Lepisosteus oculatus: one gene and its partners. The protein of the gene in region 2 purifies or fractionates together with the protein of the main gene of each other region. This does not show direct contact. Links are inferred from orthologs where the notes say so. Each region holds a gene or a part of one and is shown on either strand. Other genes may lie near its edges. The genes, in order: kpna6, chd8 and kpna5.

What was found.
Region 1: the proteins of chd8 (region 2) and kpna6 purify together in Homo sapiens (affinity purification with mass spectrometry; 4 studies listed by BioGRID and IntAct, with this or other methods). This does not show direct contact. The link is inferred for Lepisosteus oculatus from reciprocal best matches to the Homo sapiens genes CHD8 and KPNA6.
Region 3: the proteins of chd8 (region 2) and kpna5 purify together in Homo sapiens (affinity purification with mass spectrometry; 3 studies listed by BioGRID and IntAct, with this or other methods). This does not show direct contact. The link is inferred for Lepisosteus oculatus from reciprocal best matches to the Homo sapiens genes CHD8 and KPNA5.

What each region holds. Positions count from the first base shown.
Region 1 is NC_090706.1:3,287,890-3,292,709, reverse strand, and holds the start of kpna6 (importin subunit alpha-7), read right to left. Parts: upstream 3,113-4,820; 5' UTR 2,961-3,112; coding exon 2,957-2,960; intron 2,905-2,956; exon of another isoform or gene 2,534-2,904; intron 1-2,533. UniProt on the Homo sapiens protein: Functions in nuclear protein import as an adapter protein for nuclear receptor KPNB1. Binds specifically and directly to substrates containing either a simple or bipartite NLS motif.
Region 2 is NC_090699.1:12,468,616-12,473,435, forward strand, and holds the start of chd8 (chromodomain-helicase-DNA-binding protein 8), read left to right. Parts: upstream 1-1,319; 5' UTR 1,320-1,472; intron 1,473-4,820. UniProt on the Homo sapiens protein: ATP-dependent chromatin-remodeling factor, it slides nucleosomes along DNA; nucleosome sliding requires ATP. Acts as a transcription repressor by remodeling chromatin structure and recruiting histone H1 to target genes.
Region 3 is NC_090697.1:32,630,521-32,635,340, reverse strand, and holds the start of kpna5 (importin subunit alpha-6), read right to left. Parts: upstream 3,283-4,820; 5' UTR 3,158-3,282; coding exon 3,154-3,157; intron 341-3,153; coding exon 207-340; intron 1-206. UniProt on the Homo sapiens protein: Functions in nuclear protein import as an adapter protein for nuclear receptor KPNB1. Binds specifically and directly to substrates containing either a simple or bipartite NLS motif.

The DNA of each region.
Region 1 (4,820 bases), on a different chromosome or scaffold from region 2:
CCATCACAATAGGACTGAAAGAACACAAGAAAGATTACAGACAAGAAGGGGTCATTCAGTCCAGCAGGCCAATTGGTAGTTAGCAGCTAACTGGTCCAGGGATCTCGCTCATGTGGCCGTTTCATGAAAGAAGCCAGGGTATTGTTTTCCCACAACAGGGCTTGTTCCAGGCACCTGTTTTCAGCTCCGGTGGAAAAGTGCCTTGAAAAGAACAGGGAGACACCTACTATCTGCAAGCTGCTTGGGACCGAAAAACTCAAACTCAGATTAAGATAAAATATATAAAATGTAAGGTGCAACTAAGAGATCTAAAGCAAAACGTCGACTCACTTCAAACTATGCAACTGAGCTGCATGACACAAAAAGTATCGAAGATATAGAAGCACTTGAAAACGATCGCTTCAGAGTTACCAGCAGCAGAGCAGTTAGCAGCTCCGTCTGTTTTTCCATGGAACCTGTGCTCCTGGTCTGGGACACGCTCAGGGAGCTGGGAGGCAGGGCCAGACTGCAAACACGGATATCTCAGCGCAGACGGCACCTGCCTGGGCTTCCTTCTCAGGTACGAGATCAAACCGGACAACTTCCTTCCAAACGAGCAAACTCTCCGAGAACCTCCATTCCCTTCCTAAAAGGTTCAGGGGTGACTGCGACCTCTTCCGAAACCGCTAGCAGGAACTGCATCTCCCTCTGGCACTTCGCAATTCAACACCCCACCGTGTTCTCCAAACCTCAGGACAAACGTACAGACGTCCAGTTCATTTTTTAAACACACAATGCTAGATCAGAACCACTGTAATCGGCTAGGAATGAACAATCCAAGGAAGTCTGAAAAGCCATACCAAGAAGAGGGTAATTGTTTTTTTACACAAAAGACCTAAATTCAGTCAATACATGTGTAAGTGATCAAAAATACAAAATGTTCTATGCGCTGTAAAATGTATGACCCTTAATTTACATTTAAGCTGCTGAGAAAACAATGCATCACATATATATGCTTGTGACCGATACACTGTGATACCTTCAGCAGCCCCAGACTATTCACTCTGGGTCAGAGCTGTCCAGCAAGTGCCAAGGCCTGCTAGTCGGTCTTTAATGCCAGCAGGGCCTGAAGAGCAGTGAGAAGCAGTCAGATGGGTCCAGGCAAGCCAATAGCAGTCTGAGTGAGGTCACAAGGAGCTGAGCTGGACTGAAACCCTGCAGTCGCTCCTCCAGAACCACACCTGGACACCCCTGGTCCTGTGATCTTCACGTCCAGGGAAAGTGCCATCCTGGGCATCCAGAAATGAGGAATAACGGATCAATTCAGTCTTTTTGGACTGCCCCATCCTGGTCCTAGAGATCCACACTGCAGCGGAGCCCCTGACCTATGAATCCTTAACTGGACAACAAGTTGCCTGATTGGAACCTCTGCAGGTTTTTTTTATCCTGGTACTCAGAGGTGGTGCTGCACACTGGTGGTTGTGGAGGGGAGTCCCCATTACCTGTAAAGCACTTTGAGTCAGCGAGTCTAGAAAGGCACTATGTAATTGTAAGGAATGACTATTATTATTGAAGGCTGTAGATTTTACTGACAACTTAATAGTTAAAAGGCAGCCTCATAAATCTTGAGGAACTCCAGGGAAAGAGGTTTTACTTGACCTATCATTAGCTATATTAAAGGAGCGATTACTTGAGTGCTCAGGTGGCAGAAACACTAACGGGTCTGTGGTTCTGCAGGGCCAGAATCGAAACCCCTGGCTTAGAGACGATCAAACCCAGGACACCTCCGCATTTACTGGTCCCTTACGACTCTGTCTGCAGTTATCAAATACGATGCCGCAGAGGAACAGTTCACGATGAATATCGGGGGCCACCGACTTTCAGAAATGAAGCGTTTCCCAGCTAGGGTGAAGAATATACTCGAGAGAGCTTAAGCACATGAGTCACTGCCTGACTCAAGAGCCTTGTGCAAATATGAATCAGATCCTGCATGAACAAAACAGACCTAAAAACGTGTGAATAGAAACCGACCCGTTTAAGTCAGACAAAGGCAAATTGAATTATATCTGAAAAACCGGGCACAATTAGATCCTTTAAATCAAACTCCATTCTACTTTAGCGATACTGCAAAAAAAAAATCTAAATCAAATCGGGAGATGATTCCCTCTTTCTTTAATACAGAGGTTTCAAAAGACAAACTAGAGAGAAACGGCGGTAGGCCTGCCAGTTAAAATGTCGGAAGCCGCCACACCAGCGGTTCACACAAATTTAATGTATGTGGAAATATTGTAATTCTTGAAACGCCGTTTTCGATCCCCTCCCCGCAGTTTCTCATACGACGTAGAGGATATATGAAGAAAAACAAATACTGTGTTGTACATCCTACAGGCCAAAAAAGAAACAAGAAAAAACTTCTGATAATGGAAATCATCGGATTACTAAAAAGCCACAACACGTCTAGTACTAAGACAGTGCATAATGAGCCACTGCTATAAACATCCAAATCAAGATCACGTTTTGTAGGGTTTTTTTTATTATTATTTATGTTACGTACCATGCAGACAGATGGAGTGACACTGTGAGAGTGGGTAATATTAGGGAGCGTTTCTGCAATTTTTCCGCCTATGGCTGCTGTAAAAGGTGTTTTTTTTTCCGCTCCCCTCCCTTGGAAACAGCCGCACGGCCTCTCCTGAGCTCAGGCCCGTCCACACAGGGCCCACACCCGGGAGCCGCGCCGAGCCGCGCCGCGCCACGCCACGGACCCGTCCCCAGACAAAACCTGCCGCTTGAGTCGAAACGGATCCCACCCCACCCCTGCCCCGTTTTCCAGCAGAGACAGGGCCGGGGTTTGACAAGCGTGATCTCCCCCCCGCCACCAGCCCGCACGGCTGAGAGAAACTGTGACCCGGGGAATCGGCCCGTCTACCGACGCCCTCTCTCCGCCTGCTCTGCGGGGAGCTACACGCTTTCAACTCACCCATTGCGGCAGATATACGTCCGGTGACAGCCCCCCCGTGTCTCTCTTCTGTCCCGATTTCTGTTAATTTTAATCTCACACCCGCTCTCCCTCCCTTCCAGAATTTGCTGTCCGCAGACAATATGTCGGAAGACGACGGAAGCCCGGAGCAGCCAAATGGCTCGTCGTCGCGTTTTAGAAAAAGGTGGGCGGTTCAGAGCCGGCGATTGCTCGGCGAGGAACTACGCCTGAACAGCTCTGCTGACTGATGCACGCATGCCGATGACAATCCAAGTTGAAGCATTCATTCAGAGCTTCGCAGTTAGATAATAAATGATGCCATACAAATTACTCACACGTACGAGATGAAAAAAACTCTCTCTGAGAGTCAGTCCTTATTTTAACTCCCAAGTAGTAATAATAATAGTAATAATAATAAACTTTATTTTATATAGCGCCTTTAAAGGTGGCTTCTCAAAGCGCTTTATAGAATGACAACAACAATAAATAAAAAGAATACACAAGATAATACACAAGACAGCTAAGGTTCAGCTTGTAGTGTTAATTTGTCTGTAGCCAAACAGCAATTGCAATTTATGCGTGTTCTGGCAGTGCCTATCTTGAAAGAGCTGTCAGATCTTGAGTGGGATATTATGGTCAGGATAAGTTGTGTGCAATCCTTCCTTGTCATGTCTTCCTAAACGTTTTTTCAGCAACATTCTCCAAGGATTCAATTGTCTGTCTGACATTACTAAAGAAATTATAAAACCAGCCAACACCTATCCGAGCACCTAAAGAAAACACTCCAAACATGCCAGCTGCACACAGAACGTGCCACTGTCCAGAATCGAACCCAGGACTTGAGAGCTGCGAGGCAGCAGGAATAATCGCAATGCCACCATCCCAGAAACAAAGACATTAACCATGTCTAGAACACAAAATTTGTAATGTTGTGTTAATTTCACAGGAACTCGTACCTTGATTATTATCAACAGAAAATCCAGAGAACTGATTCATTTTCGATGCATTTAAAGCTTAGGCCCCTACATTTCAGCAATCCAGCTGCATCAAATTAAACTGTAACAAAGTCCGTGAGGGGTAGATTGGTGAACGGCTTACTCAGCAGAGTCAACTCAATAATCACTCACACAGAGCACACTGATGAACTGTCCATCACAACGCACTCTGAACAACAAAAGAGCTGGTTATCTGCAAGATAGATTATCTTCAAAACAGTCAGAAACTGTCCTCCATCTGAACGTCAAGCCCACAGTGCCTTTGCTCTTTACTGTGCAATCAGGTGTCCAGGATAGGGACGGAAATAAAGATGATCTTGAATTTATTTTGGCTGCGACATTTGTACCCTGAACCACAGTCGCAGCCCAAATTGTTTTATTGGCATCCTTCATTGCAAGCAATTGTGAGTAGTGCATTTGACTTGGAGGATTTCTATTCTTCAGTTACAAATTATTCAGCTATATCTTTCCAGGGGTTTAATGAATAGCGATTCATTCTGTTCACCGGTGGTAAGGATTTTCAGGCAAATCGGCTGAACCTAGACTACCAATGATTTTATCAGCAGTTCCAGGTATATCCAAAACACTATCTTGCCTCATAAATTGGAGACAGTTGTGTTTTTCTGTGCTTACATTTGGACTCTGCACCCAAGTGCCATCTTTGAAGAAGAAACAGAACAAACATTCCAAGAGAAGAAAAACATCTTCATTTGCCGTTCAAACACTTTTTAACTGAGAGAAGCAGTGATGAGACAAAGCCAGCAGTCCAAGACATCTGGAGCCACAATGTGTTGATGTGTTGACATTTGCAAAAGAGTATCAGGGGAAAAAACACTATCAGACTGATGCAGTGTGTCATTTTATTTTCT
Region 2 (4,820 bases):
AAGAGTAGGGGTGTCCTGACTGGTCAGTACAGATCCCAGGACACTGTCAGTAAGAGTAGGGGTGTCCTGGAGTACAGTTTCTCTCTGTGTTTGTGCAGGCTGGGGTACAGTCTGGGGTACAGTTTCTCTCTCTGCTTGTGCAGTCTGGGGTATAGTTTCTCTCTCTGATGGTGCAGTATGGGGTACAGTTTCTCTCTATCCTGGTGCAGGCTGGGGTACAGTTTCTCTCTCTGCTGGTGCAGTCTGGGGTACACTTTCTCTCTCTGTTGTTAAAGTCTGGGGTACAGTTTCTCTCGCTGCTGGTACAGTATGGGGTACAGTTTCTCTCTCTGCTGGTGCAGGCTGGGGTACAGTCTGGGGTACAGTTTTTCTCTCCTGGTACAGTCTGGGGTACAGTTTCTCTCTCTGATGGTGCAGTCTGGGGTACAGTTTCTCTCTCTCCTGGTGCAGGCTGGGGTACAGTCTGGGGTACAGTTTCTCTCTCTCCTGGTGCAGGCTGGGGTACAGTCTGGGGTACAGTGGCTGTATTCTCTCTGCTAGTCTTTGTAATGCTGTACTTTACCAGGGTTAACAATCTACCAGCTACCAAATGATCTGGTCTGCAGAGGCAGCTGCCTCAGTCTTGTTCTCCTTTTCATACAGTTCAGCCTTAGTTTGACATCGTATCGTGAAAGCGTGCTTTGTTCCTGCCATTGCTTTTAACGTTTTCTTATACAAGTGTGTTTCCACAGTTTTTTTTATGTTTTCCTGACTTGGAACAATTGATCTGCACGATACTGTAACACAGAACTCAATGCCAAATGGCCCCAGATACGCATCAGCGATCTTCCGTTGCGTGAAATAAACTCCATCACCTGGCTTTTAACCCCAAACAAACAATATGGATCTCAGTTTAATAGTGGGGTTGTTTTTTTTTCCCGGTCCTAAAACGCGAAAGTTGCTCTCACGCAGTCTCGGTCCTCGCCCGACTGTTTCTCCGGCCTGGCGGGTCGTGGTGTGACAGGTTTTGTGTTTTTTTTTATTTTCGGAAGGGATGAGGGAGAGAGAGAGGTGGGGGAGCTGTGACGCCGCGCACAAGCGAAGGGATCTCAGGCTCCAAACCTGCCTAGAAACGCACCAGGCCGCACTCTCCCGCTGCGCTCTCAACCGAACTACCCCCTCGCTGCCTTGTCGCACTCCCTCCTCCTCCCCCCCTCCACAAGATAACACCGTGATCGACAGCGTCTTCCAGCCAATTGAGTTCCGGTAGCCGTCAGCGCCCATGCGGACTGGGCCAATCGCAGCCCGACGTCTCTTGCGTAGCCCCGGACGGGGCGGGGCATAGAGGGGGAGGGGAGGAGGTATAGGGAAGGCTGCGGCGAGGCCCTGCGTCGCTTAGGAAAGTTAGTTCCTGCTCTGGCTCCGGCCGTTTCCTGTAGCGTACAGTGTTGCGAGAGAGAGAGACGCTGAAAGCCATGTGTGTCGCGGTAAAGGTAAATTTTTACACCCCGAAAGGAGCGCGGAGGGCCGGAGTCGGCGGGGGGGCGGGGGAGGGAGCCGGGTTTTGCCGGGAGGCGGCCTCCGACGGCGGCCCGCGGGGGCCCCGGCCGCGTCCCCTCGCCCGGCGCCCAGGCGCGGCGCGGCCTGTCGCGGGAGCGGGTTCGGAGCGGAGCCGCACGCTGCTCCGGTCGGCTCGCTGAGGGAGAGGGGAGAGGGAGGAGGAAGAGGAGGAGGGAGGTGGTGGTTGTTGTTGTTGTGCGGGGGGCGAGAGACCGCTGGCTACCCCGCTCCTCGGTGTTTCTGTGCCCGTGTCTGCGGCAGGCAGCCCCCGGGAAATCGCGTCTCCTGTCTGACTCCCGCACCGGAGTTTGTGACTTTCAGTTTCCCCTCTCTCTCCCTCTCTCCTGCGGGCGCATCTCCTCTCCGGCGGCCGGCGGCCGGCAGCGGCTCGCTCGCCCGGGGCCGCCGAGTCCGTGTGGCCGTCTTTCGGCTCTGTGGTGTTGTGTTGTGGTGTGTCGCTGGCTCGGCTCGGCTCGAAGGAGAATTTCACCCTGCTGTAACATCGTGATGGTGTGTTTGGAAGTGAGGGGGGTTGGGGTGAAGACTGCTGTCGGGGAGGCAGGCTGACTCCTCTTCCATCGCGGTCCGATCCAGCCCGGGTCTTCCCGGCGGCGGCGGGCGGTGAGGCTGGGAGCCGGGCAGGACGGCAGACTTTCCCCTCTGCCGCCGCCGAAGCCCCGATTTCACTCCTCTCGCCGGCAGCCGACACGCCGCGTCTCTTTCCTTCGCTCTCCAGCCCGGGATACACCTTCATTTGTCCCGTATTCGCGTCTCCTTCCCTGCGTGTCTCGCTCACGCGTGGTGTTGTGGCTGCTGCCTCACGCTGCCTGGCTGCGATGAGCCCCCCCCCTCCCCGCAGCCCCCGGGTGGAAAGGCGCTGTATGGGATGAAAGTGTGCTGGTGCTGGACGGGCTGTATTCCCGTGTGAATTCCCGCAGGATCCGAGTCCCAGCTTTTCCTCTCGAGCTTCCCGAGGGTCCTGCCACTGTGAATACCTGGAGCGGATAGCGCCGCTGAGCGCCCTGAGTGTGTGTGTGGGGTTATTGCTGGACTGTATCGGCGCGCCTCTCTGTTAGCGTCTGTTCTTGGGGGACAGGGGCAGTGTGGGGGCACCTGGGGGTGTCCTCTGAGCTCTGCTTGAGTCGCTGACCTGCTGCCTGAGACACTGAACTGCTGCACCTGCTGCCCATGACACTGACCTGCTGCCTGTGACACTGATGCTTTGCCCAGTACACTGACCTGCTGCCCAAGACACTGCCCATGACAGTGATGCTCTGCCCAGTCCACTGACCTACTGCAAGAGGCACTGCCCGTGACACTGACCCTCTGCCCGTGACACTGCCTGGTACACTGACCCTCTGCCCGAGGCACTGCCCGGCTGCCTGAGGCACTGACCCTCTGCCCGCGACACTGAGCTGCTGCCCGGTGCACTGACCCTCTGCCCATGAGACTGACGTGCTGCACTGACCCTCTGCCCGCGACACTGACTTGCTGCCTGAGGCACGTCCCGTGACACTGACCTGCTGCCTGACCCTCTGCCCGCGACACTGACCTGCTGCCCGAGGCACGTCCCGTGACACTGACCCTCTGCCCGTGACACTGACCTGCTGCCCGAGGCACGTCCCGTGACACTGACCTGCTGCCTGACCCTCTGCCCGCGACACTGACCTGCTGCCCGAGGCACGTCCCGTGACACTGACCCTCTGCCCGCGACACTGACCTGCTGCCCGAGGCACGTCCCGTGACACTGACCCTCTGCCCGCGACACTGACCTGCTGCCCGAGGCACGTCCCGTGACACTGACCTGCTGCCCGAGGCACGTCCCGTGACACTGACCTGCTGCCTGACCCTCTGCTCATGACACTGACCTGCTGCCCGAGGCATGTCCCGTGACACTGATCCTCTGCTTGCAACACTGACCTGCTGCTCGAGGCACTGCCCGGTGCACTGACCCTCTGACCATGAAACTGCCCGGTGCACTGACCCTCTGCCCATGACACTGACCTGCTGCTCAGTGCACTGACCCTCTGCCTGCGACACTGAGCTGCTGCTCGGTGCACTGACCCTCTGCCCGCGACACTGAGCTGCTGCACGAGGAACTGCCCGGTGCACTGACCCTCTGCCCATGACACTGCCCGGTGCACTGACCCTCTGCCCATGACACTGCCCGGTGCACTGACCCTCTGCCCGGTGCACGAGATACTGTCCGATGCATTGACCTGCTGCCCGAGGCACTGTCCATGACACTGACCTGATGCCCGAGATACTGTCCGATGAACTGACCTGCTGCCCGAGGCACGGACCTGCTGCCCGAGGCATGTCCCGCGACACTGACCCTCTGCCCGCGACACTGACCTGCTGCACGAGATACTGTCCGATGAACTGACCTGCTGCCCGAGGCACGGACCTGCTGCCCGAGGCATGTCCCGCGACACTGACCCTCTGCCCGCGACACTGACCTGCTGCACGAGGCACTGCCCAATGCATGGACCCGCTGCCCGTGACACTGACCTGCTGCCCGAGGCACTGCCCGTGACACTGACCCTCTGCCCATGACACTGACCTGCTGCCCGAGACACTGCTAGTCTTCATTCCAGCCTGTGTTACTTATGTAATTGATGTGTTAGTCGAGCTCAGAAGTTGTTTGGTTGGAGTTCTTGCAGATGGTACTCAAATGTTTTGGGTTTTCTATGCACATTTGTGAAGCTCGGGAGGTTGCAGAGATGCTGTGTTGGGGCGTTCTCTGTCTTGTGCTTGGTGTTGTATCACAGTGTGTGTCAGTCCTACAGGTGCTGTCTCTGGCTCGAGTGTGACTGTGTGTGTGTGGGGGGGGTCAGTCCTACAGGCGCTGTCTCTGGCTCGAGTGTGACTGTGTGTGTGTGTGTGTGTGGGGTCAGTCCTACAGGCGCTGTCTCTGGCTCGAGTGTGACTGTGTGTGTGTGTGTGTGGGGTCAGTCCTACAGGCGCTGTCTCTGGCTCGAGTGTGACTGTGTGTGTGTGTGTGGGGTCAGTCCTACAGGCGCTGTCTCTGGCTTGAGTGTGACTGTGTGTGTGTGTGGGGTCAGTCCTACAGGCGCTGTCTCTGGCTCGAGTGTGACTGTGTGTGTGTGGTGTCAGTCCTACAGGCGCTGTCTCTGGCTCGAGTGTGACTGTGTGTGTGTTGGGGGGGGTCAGTCCTACAGGCGCTGTCTCTGGCTCGAGTGTGACTGTGTGTGTGTGTGGGGTCAGTCCTACAGGCGCTGTCTCTGGCTCGACTGTGACTGTGTGTGTGTGTGGGGTCA
Region 3 (4,820 bases), on a different chromosome or scaffold from region 2:
TAGAAATCCTTCTCATTATGTATACAAAAAAAAAGAGGGACAGTGTCTTCTGTATGGTACAAACTCAACCCATTATAAAAAAACATTCATTTAATAGGTACTATAAATATTACACTATAACTAGCACAGCTTGCAGTTCACATTCCACTCAGGCAAGGAAAAGACAGGGTGAGGACACATTCCAAGTGAAGAGGAAATGACCCGACCTGTTCCTCCCGCTTTTGTTTTCGGAGCTGAATCCCTTCTTCTTCTCTTCGCCTGCGCATTTCCTGCGGATTCAGCGCTTTGTTCTTGTAACTCTTCATTCGGCAGTTGTCTTTCACGGGGCTTGCCATGGCGTCTGGTTTGAATACAGAGAATAGACTCAGGAGGAGAGAATAAAAAAAGTTCACGGTGAAATTTTAGTGGACGCGTCCCAGTGTCTTTGTGCACTTCAATACACCTTTCCCCTCATTTCACATGGGGGTTCACTCCTGGAAAGCCCCCTGGCTGAAGAAATCACATGTAATGAATATTTAAGTTCATGGGGGGGAAAAAGGGATTGAGGTGCAGATGACCAGCATTAGACTTGTAAACCTCATAATAGACCTCACTTCTTTCTTTCAGTCACATACAACACATCCCTACACTTACTAAGCACTTCTCCCAATTCAGGGAGACAGGGGAGGTGGAGTCTATCCCGGGAAGCAATGGGCGCAAGGCGGGGAACACCCCGGGTGGGACTCTAGTTCATCACGGGACACGCACGCACACACGCACACCAGGACCAGTCTTTCCCAGAAGCCAATTAACCTACCAGTGTCTTTGGACTGTGGGAGAAAACCAGAGTGCCTGGAGGAAACCCATACAAAGCTCCACACAGATAGCACCCAGGGCACGTAACAAGTAAATCAAGTGTACATACACAGCAGAAATAAAAGGTAATTTAACGAATTTCCCATACATTAATAAGAGAAAGTTTGAGATGTATCATTACTGTCTTTACCACCATTCATCTTTCCACTGTAACACATGACTCTAACTAACTAGCCGCATGGCGCTACGGCCCTTGTAGAGCCCTGGCCTCCTCCACGCATCTCGGCCCCATACCAGTCTTCGCCATCCTCTCACTCTCAGCTTTCTGAGGTCTTCAACATCGTTTATCCATCTTTTGAGGACCCTGTAATCCCTAGAGAGTGTGTCCCCCATGGGGCGGATGGGGGAGCCCACCATAACAGCAGTGTGGCCCAAAAATACAGAATAAGGGCCCACGGACCAACAGGGATCCACTGCCTTGTGGACAGAGGAGGGATCCTCAAAGGCTAAGAGAGACGACCCTAACAGAAATCAATTTAGGTCGAACGCTTTAAGGAGGCAGCCCCTCCATCGCACTTCGAGGTGGGACTAACTACCCCATCCTGTAAAAAGTAAAAGTTACAAAACCAAAACATGATTCACCCGACTCAAACTGATCCAACACATCTGACGTTATCACAGATCACGAAAGCGAAGAAACAAACGACTTCCTCACTTGTAACAATTAGGAGTCATGGCTTCTCACCAGATAGTTAAAAAAAAACAGGAGGGAGCCACAGGGAAAATGAAAGAGACAATATGCAGCAAGCATCAACACAAACGAAAAAGGACACGCTGCTGGTTTTCTGGGAAGGTGGCAGAGACGTGCCACCAGTGACTGAGTCTGCATTAGACCATGTATACACAAGACTCTGCCAAAGCTTGCTGAAATTCTGGCATCAATGAACGCTATGTACATCCGTTTGTAAAATGTGTGTAAAAACCAAAACTACAGGGAAGACCTCTATGGTGGAATTGTTACCAATTCATATTGCAGTAATACAGTGATATCCCATTTCAGTCTCCACAAAAAAGATTCCCTTTTAGACCTTTCATTCGTTTTTTTTGGTGTGTGTGTGTGTGGGGGGGGGCGTTGAACATTCTTTAACAAGTTGGTACACAAGCGACTCTGGGACCTTCACTTTCTTTTACCTTGGGAAACCACTACCGGTAATTTCCCCCCCATTTTACTCAAAGTATACCCAAGTTGACTGAAATACATAAAGCCATTTCAGCTTCGAAGAATGCAGTCTAGATATTACAAGCGTAGATCATAGACAAAGTGAAAATATTAAGTGACAGCTTTAATGCACCAAAAATAGTGACATTTTAAACTTAAGTGACCTTCAGCAACAGCTAGCGACATTTGCAGAATTTATGACAGGGGTGTCGTCAGTCAACAACAGGAGAACTGTTGGGTAGAAGAACTGGAAAGGGTAGAAATGTGAAACAGCGTTATTAGTAGTTTGAGGGGTTCAAATTCCGGGAGAGGCACCGATGTTGCGCACTGATCATTAACTCGAACTGTTTCCTGCCCATGCCCAGCTATATAAATGGGTACAAATGGACCAAAACTGTCAGCCAAATAACGTTAACTCGGCGGAGAACACAAACCCGAACCTACGCTTAGAGCAATGCCAATTATTTTATTCGAAAAACATCACTGCCTGACCCGTCATCGCCCATCAACTATTTGTTCATACGGTCACTGTACATTTACGATACACTTCAAACCAGACCCATCACAGGTACGAACTAAGGCTAGGCGACGTTACCAGATAAGATCATAATAGGTACAAATTACGATATTCAACATTAACCTAAAGAGACAATTACATACCGCGTACAATTTATTTAAAAAAAACGCAAGTCGGCAAGATTCCAGGACAAATGGCAAACACATTTAAAGACCACGGTTACCTGTGTCTTCAGGTGGGCTGCACCAGGCGTGCTCACGAGTATCACAAGACACTAAACAAAACCAAGGTAAAATACAAGACCGCAGCCAACCTTTAGATCTTCTTCCACAGCCTGTCTAGGACTTCCAGTGACCCCAAACGCCTGGTTACGAGCCAGTTGCCAGCCTCTGGGGCCTACACCCTCCGCCAACTGGCCACCTAACACCGGAGCTCAGAACTGCAGGCACTACAGATTTTCTAGTTACATCCCCTCCCACGAAAGCCACCTTAACTGTAAATAAACAGCTGAAACTCCTTCAGCCTGGCGCCTGGCCTCCCCCGTGTACCTTAAAGAGCACGGCATGCTCCGCTTGTCAAACAAGTGACTACGATGACCGTGTAAGGGTTAGGAAGCGCTTACCCATGTACTGCCTTGCGTGCTTAGTAATTGCGCAGCTCTATTTCCGAGCACTGCCTCACCAGGATTGCTAACACAGTTCAGCGCAATATGGCGCACCTCTGTCAATTGCACAGAGGACTCCCAGCAGCCCCCTTATGTCCGTCAGCAGGAGATTGTGGCCAATCAGCGCTGGAGCTCGGTAAGATCCAGGATCCACGACTGCTGCAGGTTTTTCTGACAGACGAAAACGCCTGCATTGCACAGGGACACTGTGTTATAATAAAAGCAGAACATAATTTAAAGGCCTGACCCGATCAGAGATTTAGTAAAAGCATCTCCGCGCGTTACGGATACTTCAATGCGAGATTTTGAAATAGTATGAAAGAAGTATGAGGTATAGACTTGTTGGGTTAGGATGCCTCCGTCTTCAGCATTACACACAGGGACATTGAGTCGCCAGAGTCCCGTCCTGACCACACAGGAGGTAGACGGAGTACTTTAGCACTTATTCCCAACACAGGGAATACTCTCGGAGCACGGTTTACTCATAACATAAAAGTGTAAGCATGCTACAGAGCGTGTTTTGTACGAACAGTGCACAGAGAGGGTTAATGTGTCTATTTCTTCCCAAGCGTCGAGATTCCGCATTACGTCACCTTCATGTTCTCAAATGGCCACGGCCAATGACGTGACGTATTTGCACTCAATTGGCTCGCGGCCTTGCCCGGGCGGGTGGGATTCACGTGCGGAAGAGAGGAGTCGGCTGAATGGAAAATGAAAACGCAAGTGTTGTTGCTGCAATAGTGAGTGTACAGCGGCAGCGATCAAAGCGGTAGAAATACGAGAAAGAAGGGTGAGGAAGCGAGGCAAATTAAAGCGCACATTTCTTGCCCTGTTTTTATCCGTTTTCAGAGCTTTCGGTGTCTTTAAAGATGATTTTAAGTTGTTATGCTTCTCTACCTTTCCGGAGAAAAGCGCGGAATAGTGTTAATTATTTATATTCTTTTTATCTTTGTTATGCATTGTTATTCCCGGTTAGCTCTTGGCCTTGGTTCTTCAGGACTGTTGTCATTCACGCCGCGGTGAATGACAACAATCCTGTTTTGTTTGTTTTGTTTTGATTCAGCTTTAAGAGATTTCTTTTAAAAACATCATATTTTCAATGTACAGTATGTTGTGGTGTCCGGGTACAGGAGCGAATTTGTTGAAACTTTCTATTCTTTAATTCATAGTTACTGATAAGTACTTATTTCGGATTACATGTGTCAATATTTTTTAACTGAAACGTATACAATTTATGTAACAGAATAACACTCAATTAGTTTTTGGATGAGGACCGAAATATACACTGTGTGCTTATGTAAACGACCATGAAACCTCGCAGTCTCTGGTCCAACTGCACCTTGAGTCTCGTACGTATTTTGTATTTTGCATACGTAATCCATTTCTTAATTTCATAAACCCTTTCCTGTTAAACGCCTTTTGTCAAGCATCTGTAAGTTGCTTTGGATAAAAGTCTGAAAATAATATTGCTATTGGGAATAGTATTATTAAGATACGGACTCCAGCTCATGTCAATTCACGATGCATTTCCACTGGTGTCCTCTGCTGTGTGTTTTTATTTGGAAGACGTCCAGCAACAGAACAGCAACAAAAAAAGTCAAGCTCTTTAAACCTGTCAGTGCAGA